2 linked regions of the Zea mays genome follow. The protein of the gene in region 1 interacts with the protein of each later gene in a pairwise test. Links are inferred from orthologs where the notes say so. Each region holds a gene or a part of one and is shown on either strand. Other genes may lie near its edges.

Region 1 (5,813 bases):
AGCACGCACAAAACTTCATTCCCAACCTGAGAAACACCTCCCACTCTCTCTCACACACCTCTTGCCTCTCCCATTTCAAATCTTTGGAGAGAAATCTTTGAGTGAGTTTGAGAGCTGCGGTTTTTGTGCTTCATCTCCAAATCTCTCTTGCTCTTCTTGATTCGAGCTTTGGTACTACATCGAGTTCTTTGTGGATTCATTACTCTTGGAGCTTCTAGCTCCTAGACGACTAGGTGTCTCTTGTGAGTCTCCAAATCTTGTGGAAGACCACAAGAAAGTTTGTATTACCCGCTCGTTTGAGCAAAGATTATTGTGTGGGCTTGACCTTTGTGGTCGGCAAAGGGAGGATTAGGGTTGAAAGAGACCCGACTCTTTGTGGGCGCCTCAACGAGGAAGTAGGGCACCTTAGTGGTGTGACCGAACCTCGGGATAAATCTTGTGTCTCTTGTGTTCTTGCTCATTGTGTGTTTGTGTTCTTCGTTCTCTCACCATTGCGTGGAAGATTTGTTTATATCTTTTTGGTGTGTGGATTTTGAGAAGTGCCCTTCTCAGATCTACTACTTTGAACCCTGTGGATCATTTAGAACATCTCATTTCCAAAGTTAACTGGGTGAATTTTGAGATCAATTCAGTTTTACCCAGTTTGCTTCTAGTTTTTGTTGAAAAAGTTTTAACTTGCCTATTCACCCCCCCTCTAGGCAACTTTCAAAAAGAGAGGTCTACGGCTGATTTGTAATCATCAATCGAATCAATACAACTTCTATTCGCATTTATTTCCAGTACAATTAGGAGTAGTTCTAGTCTAGTTCTAGTTTAGCCTCTCGATCCCCAAATTCTTCGCCTCTCTTCGACTCTATGCCGATTAGAGGAGTCTAGGTCGGCCGACCCGAGCCTAGACAACACCTAGGATCTCTTCTCCCCGACGGGGTCCCTCCCGGGAGCGAGATCCAGGCGCCGCCGGCGATCTTCCGCTGCCCCTGCGCACGCGCGGACCGTCCGGCCCCAGGGCGCGGACCGTCCGGCCGTCAGGCAGGAAACCCTAGCCCCTGCGCCAGGTCGCGGACTATCCGGCCCCAGGCCGCGGACCGTTCGCGCCTGACTAGAGACCACCGCCGTCGGTTCTTCTTGAGTATTTGGCGCTCCGAAAAGGCGTCAACAGACTGGAAGCTCCAACTTCCCCAGCCTGTAGAAAGCACCATGTGCCTCTCTACAGAAGCCACCGCGTGATGACCAGCTTCATCCGGCAGGGTTGGTAGTGGGTACAGTAGCAAGCTAGCCTAGTCTAATATAAGAACAAATTTATATTGTCCATCCCATATTGTCTTGAATGGGATTTTCTTTTTTGAAACCAGTGAAATTTCAGCTCTTGCTGTCGTGCAAATTTGTACCCATTGGCCATGGTTGAACTTCCAATAGCTGTTGCTGATCTGGGCCCAGCATTGTTGTTTCTTGGGAGTGCATTAGGTCATTCTTAGTGATAGTTTTATCACACCATTTTCAATGTTATCAGTCAATAAGAGTAAGATGAAAAATAGAATAAAATATGTTTTCTCAGTAAAGAGTTTCATAAAATAATTTTATAGACTAACGTGTGATTAAAATTTAAATGTTACATCTAAACAGTCAATAGATTTAGATGAAAAATATGCAGATGAAATAAGTTAGTCTTAATGGTAGTTTCAAACGCTTTTTAATACCTTGGAAATGAGTTGATATAGTTTTATATTGATGAAACTAGTTTCACCTATTTCATAATAAATATAGTGTACTAATTCATTTATGAAATTTATAATGAAACTTCTATTAAGACGGACTCCAGCAAATTACCTAAAATTTACCCTTATAAACTGTTTTGTACGGTAGAGTGCACTGCTTGTAAAATAGGGTTTGAATATAAGTATAGGGATTGGTAAGCTGATAGAAATAGTCTAAGAGTGATCTTAGAGTATACATGCTTTGTTTTGACAGGGAATATTATCTCGTTATCTTGGGCGGCACCGGGCCCGGACCCGGTAGGGTCTAGTCCAGCTAAAAGCCCACTTGCATTAATGAACAACGTCAATTTCCCCCTTTTCCCCTATGAAAAAGAGTAGAAAAGAAATCAAAATGGATGCAGGGAGACAGCTAGTGTGAATGCGGCAGGCCCCGTTCTCTGAGACCGAGCTGTGTGAATGGGCAGAAAAGTAATGGCAGGCAGAGGCAGGCAGAGGCGAGAAGCAAGAAGAAAAACGAGGGGAGCAAGGAAATCGAGGCAAGAAAGCAAGGGCAGAGGCGCAGAGCCTGCAATCTGCTGTCCCCCGTCGCCGCCGCTGCCTCGCCGTTGCAATCGAGGCAAGAAAGTTAGGGAGTGCTGGCGTTGGGCAAGTCGCTCTGGGCCTCTGGGGAGACGGGGGCTGGAGGGGCGGCGAGATGATGGAGGCCGGCGGCGCGGGAGCGGGGGGAAGGGACGAGAGGGTGCCGCAGTGGGGCGTGCAGGAGACACGGGAGCTGATCGTGGCGCGCAGGGAGATGGAGCGGGAGGCCGTCGCGGCGCGCCGCAGCGCCAAGACGATGTGGGAGGCCGTCGCGGCGCGGCTCCGGGAGCGAGGCTACCGACGAACCGCCGAGCAGTGCAAGTGCAAGTGGAAGAACCTCGTCAACCGCTACAAGGCATTCATCCCTCGTCCGGCAGATAACTTTCTACCCTAGTCTCGTAACGCTAGATTGGCCGGTCTGTTCTGGACCACCAGACAACGATGTTCTGCTGTATTGTTCTTGTGTTGATGGCAAAATGATATGCATTGCTGGTTCGTGACTTCGTCTTTAGGCTCAGCGTCCCCAAATTGGTCTTCTATCTTGATAGGTCCACTTTGAGTTGTTTAGGAGTGTGTCCACAACTCCCCTTGTTCACCTTCGCTGCATTATTTGCGCAACCATTTCCATCAGTGAAGGGCATTCAGAAATCTTAGTCTTTATATGTTCATGATAAGTAGAGAAAAGAAAACTGATTTTGCAGAATTTATCCTTGCATTGTGCCACACATGTTGGAACGTAATGCTTTCAATTGCACATTTTGAAGTAGGTGGATAGTAAATTAGTAATGCTAAGATCTATGGATAGTACATACCGCCTCCATTCCAAATGATAATACATTTTGACTTTTCTAAATACATAGCTTTTGTTATGCACTTATTATGTAATTAGGTATACACCGTGTCTAGATACATAGTAAAAGCAAAGTATGTAGAAAAACTAAAATATCTTATAATTTGGAACGGGAGAGTACTGATTAATTTACAGCACATTAGGGTTTTTAAAAACTTTCTTAGTCCAATTGTTGTTTCTGTTTTCAAGTTTTCTTCACAAATTTCACATAGAAGCAATGCTTGCTTTTGTTACTATATTTTGTATGTTTTGGCATTTAAAAAGGTGTATTCCACTTTGTTTTGTTCTGAAATGAAAACATGGCACAAATATTTCTAAGAAACTAGGATAACTTATCTAGTACAGTGAATTATTGCTAGTGATAGAAAGGGGAATCCACCTACCATTATCTTTGTTGATTGTGAGTCTATGATGCATGAAAAGTCAATGTGGAATCTCAAGGGTTTGAGGGGAATTGAGTGGCAAATTGTCCAGAATTGGTGGTTCAGTTAAAGTTAGATTTTCACTTTTTGAGAGCGTGGATTCATTGTGAACCCTAAAGGAGGCTTTCTTCACATTGGTTAGTTTGTCTGAGAAATTGCACTTGAACTGTCTCAGAGTGCGACATCTGTCCTGCACCGGCAAAAAGAGGGAGTGGTGGTAAAATTATGATACTACCTGTTAGGTGTGTGCGAGAGAGAGCATGGATGCGTTGATTAGGTTTATTGAGAGAAAAATGTGCAAAAGCTGTACATTATTGCCGACGTTCCTGCTGACCACAATAGTCATGTAATATTGGTCTTCTGCTGCAATAGTTATAAAAGACTTCGTATTTTGTCCCAATCTCAATGATAACGTCAGGAAATAGATCAATTATATTTTTTTCATCAGGAGCTAATGAAAAATTGGAAGTTCCATGTTAGGTTCAGATTAACTCTGCTGTTGGGTTGGTTGGGTGGTGGGTCCAATTTCAAGCTTTGCATTATAATGTATTCTTCTTTTATGCTCAAGAAAACCCAGTTCCTACTTACAGAGACTGGCCGATTGTTTATTGTTTGGACACATAGTTGGTTCATCTTTGCCTTGTGGTCTGTCCACCTTGTTTGCTTTGTGATTTCAACAAATAGTTAGTACTTTCATTCTTTAGTTTATTGTAAGCACAAGCTCATACGTTATGCATCCTTCCATTTCATCAGGGGAAAGAAACTTCTGATCCAGAAAATGGTAGGCAGTGTCCCTTCTTTGATGAGCTGCATGCCGTCTTCACAGACCGTGCAAGAGATATGCAACGACAACTCCTTGAGTCTGAATCTGGGGCTTCTGTCAAAAGGAAACTGAAGCAACCTGGTGGTGACCGGTCATCTGGGCTGTCTGATGACGAGGGCAATGGTGGTGAAGAAAGTGATGAGGAGAAACCGTTGCCCAGCAGGAAGAGGAAAGCTGACGACAAGAAACAGCAACATCAAAGAATGTCTGGGAAATCAAGAGCAGGATTTTCAAGCATACATGAACTGCTGCAGGATTTCCTTGTGCAACAACAGCACATTGATGTCTGGTGGCGGGAGATGATGGAGAGACGCGCCCAGGAGCGGATTGTTTTTGAACAGCAATGGCGGCAGACAATGCAGAAGCTGGAGCAGGAGAGGTTGCTGTTGGAACACTCGTGGATGGAACGGGAGGAGCAAAGAAGGATGAGAGAAGAAACACGGGCAGAGAAAAGGGATGCACTCCTGACTGCTCTGTTGAACAAACTCCTACAGGAAGATCTATAGCCGGATAAGCTTGCTCTTCATTTCGTCAGGGTATAGTTGCAGTAGTGGACATTGTTTTGTCACCTTGTTTTAGCAATTCTTTGTAGCTGCTACATATATTAACATGTGTTTGTTCAAAGAAAATTGTTTCTTATAGCATTTGTATTAGGTTCCTAGGCATTCTTTTCCAGTTATTTGGTGGAGTAAAAGTTAATTTTATGTTTAATTGTGGTTGTAAGTATCATACTGTCAGGTAAGTATACAGATCAATGCTAATACGCTTTAGCAGTTGGCTCTCTATCAGTAATGGACAGAAGTTCATGTAATCTGCTTGTTCAAAAAAATAAGTTCATGTGGCATCAAAGAAAAGAAGTTCATGTAATGTATGTGTTCGAAGATAAGCTCATGTACAGTCAGATAGATCTTGAGATCAACCACATTTATTCACAGGTTTCAGCAAATGCTTTCAGCTAGCAACCGGCCTTATGCGAGAACAACTGGATAAGCCCATCACCCATCGCCCATCGGCAGCAGAAGGCCACTGCCCGGACGGAGCTTCCGAAAGGGAACCGGGCAGCGGCAATGGAGGGACAGCCGCTCCATCTCCTCATCGCCCAGTTCCACCACCCTTGCCTACGCGGTCTCATCCCCAACTACCCTACCCACTACCTGCCCACCTCCCGCCTCCGACTCCGCGTACAGCGTCGCAAGCCGAAGCAGCTCGCCGCAGTGCCTTCGAGGCGTCCATCGGGCAGCCAAGCCGACGCGCCTGGCCTGGTGCCGGTGCCTAACACGGTGGCGGCGCTGGTGCTCCAGCTGACCGTGTGCTCGCTCCTTTTTCTCTTCCCCAACCGTGCCCGAGCCCTCGCGCTCCCGCCCCCTCCGGGGGCCGCTGCGGTGGTTGAGGCGACGCAGGAGGAGGAGGAGGAGGACCAGGAG
Region 2 (5,071 bases), about 4.4 Mb from region 1:
GACTGTCTGATCGATCTCATGCCAGGACCAGCCCATGCACGCATGCATATGTAAGATCAACCAGTCGTGATTACGAGAACCACCTGCGTCTGCGTGCAAATATATATATGCTACCAGTCTCTTTCACATGGAAACATATGCATTTGCACGCACCTCGTTTTCCTGGGTGTACCCGGCAACTTCCGCACGAGAATGATGCATGTGCGTACCAGTTATGTCTGCTAATTTGCATGTCATATTAGCTTCCTTTTCTCCTGTTGCTCTTCTGCCTGCTCTTTTTTTAGCTGGGTTATTAATCGGTTTAGGTTAATCAGCAAAGCCGGGGAATGAGTATACATGTTTTTTTGTCGGCGTGGTGGGATATAATCCTCTACAGCATGTCAGCATGGTACTGTTTATCTACATGTGTTAGTCTCAAACAAGGCATATACACTGGTGCTGTCAGGGAGATTCAAAATTGCAAGCATCACAACACAAAAGACACAAGCAATTTCTTTATCAGAGTTCGGTTTTCAAAGGAAACCTACGTCTCTGTTGAGCTGTCTCTAAAGACAGGTCTCTTTCAACCCTCTTGAGCGGTTCCAAATATAAGTTCAAGCCCTCTCTTTATTCTCAATCGAAGGACCTTAGTCTCCACAAAGAATGGAAGTTGAAACACAAGCACAAGAGCACAGGAATGCAACATTCAACTCAACACGATCACCCACACAAGGCACTTTCTCTAGCTTAAATCTCTTCAATATAGCACTTGCGAGGCTTTAGATGGCTTAAAGTTGTTGCGATGAATGTATGAAGGTTTGCTCTAGCTCTTGTGTCTTTAACGTGTTGGTTGTGTGTGTATTTATAGGCCCCAACTACACATATAGCCGTTGGAATTGAATGGGCTTATATATATGCACAGTTTGCGGGGACTTGCATCAGACCTTGCACAAAGATGGTTGTTAATTTGTAGCTCGCTTCTACTCCCTCATCTTAATTCTTTCTTCCATATCAGCATTTAGCCGGCTTATAGCCAACTATTATATTTGTTCTTATGGAACTAGAATAAAAAATGTTTATGTATTATATTATAGGACGGAGGGAATAGTTGGTGTACCTTGTTGTGGGTCACAAGATAAAATGCATATGCATGGCTAGCTGTGCAGTATCCTGTTCAAGCTAGTAGTAGGTCTAACGGTGGATGGCGGCGCTAACTCCGAGGTCAACCTCAGCATCCATCATGCTGGTTCTCGCTTTCTCGTTTGCATGCATGCCTTTTCCAATCATATATTAGCGTGTTGCAGCCTCACTGATGATGGTCTGATATTAGAGGTTTTTTAGATGGTCTAATCTTGACAGGGCCTATGTGCCTAGCTACATATAGCTAGGAATGGCAAAACCAGTCTTATTAGATTGTGGCAAGAGATATGCATGCATCGTCTCTTTAATTTGTTGGCCTTCACGCATCTGGTTTTGTGATGCGCAATCATGCAGATGGGGTGCAGGCCAGTTTACAGACAAGGGAGCGAGATGAGTGTCGTCGATCCAACGAAAACGATATCATTCATTCATACAGATAGAGTAGACAGTAAGGCCCCGTTTGGTTTGGGGTGACTAAAGTTTAGTGACTAAAGTTTAGTCACTTTTAGTCTCTAAAGAAGCAAACATAGTGACTAAAGTGGGGTGACTAAACTTTAGTTCTTTAGTCACTAAGGGGTGACTAAAATGGACTAAAGTAGTATTTTTACCTTATTTGTCCTCTCCACTTTCTTCTTATAGCAAACATCCATTAATTAATAGGGGTAAAATAGTCATTAGTCACAACAATTAATGCCCTTTAGTCCGGTTTAGTCACTCGAACCAAACGGGGTACTTCAGCGACTAAATTTTAGTCACTAAACTTTAGTCTAGTGACTAAAGGAACCAAACAGGGCCTAAGTAAGATACCAATACCAAGAGATCGAGGCTAATTAGCACATTTAAAATGGAGGGACTAGAAGGTTGCTAAATAAATTACTTGCTCTGGTTGCTGAATAAACTCTTTTTAAAAAGAACAGTACTACCTGATGAACTTTACTATACTCCGACCTGCAGCTGCAGGTACAGAAGACACGAGCTTTCTATACATCTGAAGACTGAAGTAGTGAGAAGCGTCCTCCATTTTGATTAGCGAGGTGAAAAAGCTAGCTAGCTGTCGCGTGATCTGGTAACATGCACTCCGAATACTCTAGTTATTAGGTGAAGATTAACCGGGTCGTAGCTAGGCTGGATTCAAACTCCCGCTTTAACAGCATGCGAACGTACAGAGCGGGGAGAGAGAGAGAGAGAGTCGATATATATTCTCCCCATATATTCCTTGTCAATCGTCATGAATTTCGACAGGAAAGGTGAAAAGAGGGCAGCTCCATGCGAGAGAATTTTACCTTTTCACCTTTATTACTGCTCCTGCTTTTCGTGGCTCCGCTGATGATTGCGATTCACCACCACCACCACCACCACCGCTCTAGCTGCTGACGCCCTTCCGATCCATCAGCAATCTCCACATTCCCTGTCGCCCGCCGGCCCCAAGACCATGAGCTAGCTAGAGCACGCCTTTACCTCGACATGCATGGTCGTCTCGGTCGATCGCACAACACTCAAACCCTCGCTACGGCTACGTACAGCACCGGCCTTCTTAGCTTTCTTTCTCCAGCGATCGATCGTCTCCGGCCGGCCGGCCGGTCTCCCCATATATAAACTCGCGAGGACGCTCGATCCCTTCTCGTCTAGTAGTCGTTAGCATAGCCCTAGCCCTCAGCTTTCCGTTTTTACATATAGTACGCACTCTCTCGCTCGATCCGCTACATCGGTCGCGCGCCTAGCTCTACAAAGTTTGAAGCTTTGTAGCTCTACATCTACAGAGTTCATTAGCATGAGGCTTCACCATTTCCATGTGGCTTACTTGGATAAAGCGGCAGGCTCGCCGCCGCCGTCGTCGTCACCACCATCCATCTCACCAGCATCTCACAGTCACAGCTCGTCGTCTGCTGCCACCATCGTCCCTCTGGCCCTCCAGCAATACTGTCTACGCCCGCTTGCGCCCAAGATCTCCTTCCCTGAGGCGAGGAAGATGGTCGTCCTTCCTGAGTTCGCTCGCGTCAGGAATGCTTCTTCGAGGCTGCTAAACTGCACGGTTAGGCTATAAACCAAAGAGAGAGCCCATGTACTAGCTAGCTAGGAGGACAGTAGTAGAAACACATATCTCTAGCATGCATGGTGTACGTACGTATCTCTTAATTTTCATTGTATCAAAGCTGCAGGTGCAAGTGCCGCCGACGACGACGACGGTGGGTGGCACGACGCGGTGGAACCCGTCGCCGGACCAGATAAGGGTGCTGGAGATGCTGTACCGCGGGGGGATGCGCACGCCCAACTCGTTCCAGATCGAGCAGATCACGGAGGAGCTCGGCAAGTACGGCCGGATCGAGGGCAAGAACGTCTTCTACTGGTTCCAGAACCACAAGGCCCGCGAGCGCCAGAAGCAGAAGCGAGCTGCCCTCCTCACCCTCAGCACCACCACCACTGCTTCCACGCTGCTACCACCAGCTGCTGAAACCAAGGTATATAACTATATATGCATTGCAGCAGCTTGCGTTATGTATATATGCATTGCATGCATAAATTTAAATGCAGTGAACAGCTAGCAGTATCATCATATGTACGTACGTATGCATGCATGCAGGAGGGAGTGGAGACGAAAAAAGAAGAAGCGTGTGAAGATGCATCGAGCCGCAAGCGGAGGTGCAGGGCCTGGGAAGATGTCGTCGTCCATGGTGGCGGCGACGATGCCGGTACGGAGGTAGCTGACGACTACTACACCGACGACGATGTGACCCTGGAGCTCTTCCCGCTGCGTCCTGATCAGGGGAAATAAAGCTAGCTAGCTAGCTAGCTAACTAATTAAGTAAGGCGGACAAGCGTACGTATATGCGTAAAGTATATGCCCGATCCATGTCTATGTCCTCTCGGTCGTTCCATGCATGCATGTTCCCCTGGATCGGGCTGCTGTTCGTGCGAACACTAAACACTTTGGTCATTGGCGCGTTGCATCCACGTGTGTGCTTTGTATGGTAATAGTGTGGACTAATGGACATGCTTGGATTGCTCAAACGTACGCTTCTAGTGACAGTGAGTGGTCAAAAGTGTCATTGACTCAATAGTACTTCGTTTAATTTGTTCAGCCTACTACACCACCCATGAGACAAATCAAATCAAGGGAAGGTTAGATTGATGTCGGGTTGCCAACTAACACCACATGTGATGTCATGTTGCTAACTAACCGACACTGAAAAAGCTCATTTAACTTAGCTCATATCTGGGCGCCAAAGTTGATGACATCACTATCAAGTGGGCCATGCTAAATAGGGTGCCACTATACATGACACGGTTTATAGTGCTTCAACAAGGCACAATGCGATCCATATACGGTTTGTGCCATGTAACACCCAAAATTCCTATTTTTCAGAATTACATAAATTTCTCCAAAAGATTATTTCAACTGTTGCTTTTATGTGAATTCTACAGATAAAATATTTTTTCTTAAGATAAATGAGTGGGTAAATATTACATTTTGTCTATTCATTGCATGCTTGAGCATTTATTCTTGTTTGCATGAATTTAAATTTGACTTTGAATTTGTTTGATTTGAATTTGAATTCAAAAATGAAAATTAAAATTGAAAAGGAAACACAGAAAGAAAAATAACTCACCTCGTGGATCTGTTCTCTCCTTTCCCCTCTCTCCTTCGATCGTGTGGGCCAAGTGGGCGGTCCACTTTCCCCATGCTCGAGCCGAACTGGACCGAAGTCGTAATCCATAGGTTTGTTTTTCTAAGAATAGTGTTCACATGCGTGGACTCTCAATCGCAACGGTTGATGCGTAGGTCCCACTCATCGGAGTCGTCTCTTACATAGAGTCCATGAACCCAATCTTCATGATTATTATGAGGTTTAATATGAGGAAAACTCTAGAAGTACAAATATAACCAATATATTATTATAATAAGAGAGACCAGTCTGAGCCTTCAACAAACATGAAAAAATCCCAACATACA

The links.
Region 2: the proteins of Trihelix transcription factor GT-3a (region 1) and WUSCHEL-related homeobox 4-like interact in binary tests that used the Arabidopsis thaliana proteins (3 or more experiments, as listed by UniProt). The link is inferred for Zea mays from reciprocal best matches to the Arabidopsis thaliana genes AT5G01380 and WOX4.

What each region holds. Positions count from the first base shown.
Region 1 is NC_050105.1:143,199,442-143,205,254, reverse strand, and holds Trihelix transcription factor GT-3a, read left to right. Parts: upstream 1-2,263; 5' UTR 2,264-2,409; coding exon 2,410-2,649; intron 2,650-4,319; coding exon 4,320-4,895; 3' UTR 4,896-5,161; downstream 5,162-5,813. Other genes in the region: putative putrescine-binding domain family protein, read left to right, coding at 5,457-5,813. UniProt on the Arabidopsis thaliana protein: Probable transcription factor that binds specifically to the core DNA sequence 5'-GTTAC-3'.
Region 2 is NC_050105.1:147,565,905-147,570,975, reverse strand, and holds WUSCHEL-related homeobox 4-like, read left to right. Parts: upstream 1-2,510; 5' UTR 2,511-2,890; coding exon 2,891-3,151; intron 3,152-3,278; coding exon 3,279-3,578; intron 3,579-3,700; coding exon 3,701-3,892; 3' UTR 3,893-4,053; downstream 4,054-5,071. UniProt on the Arabidopsis thaliana protein: Promotes differentiation and/or maintenance of the vascular procambium, the initial cells of the developing vasculature.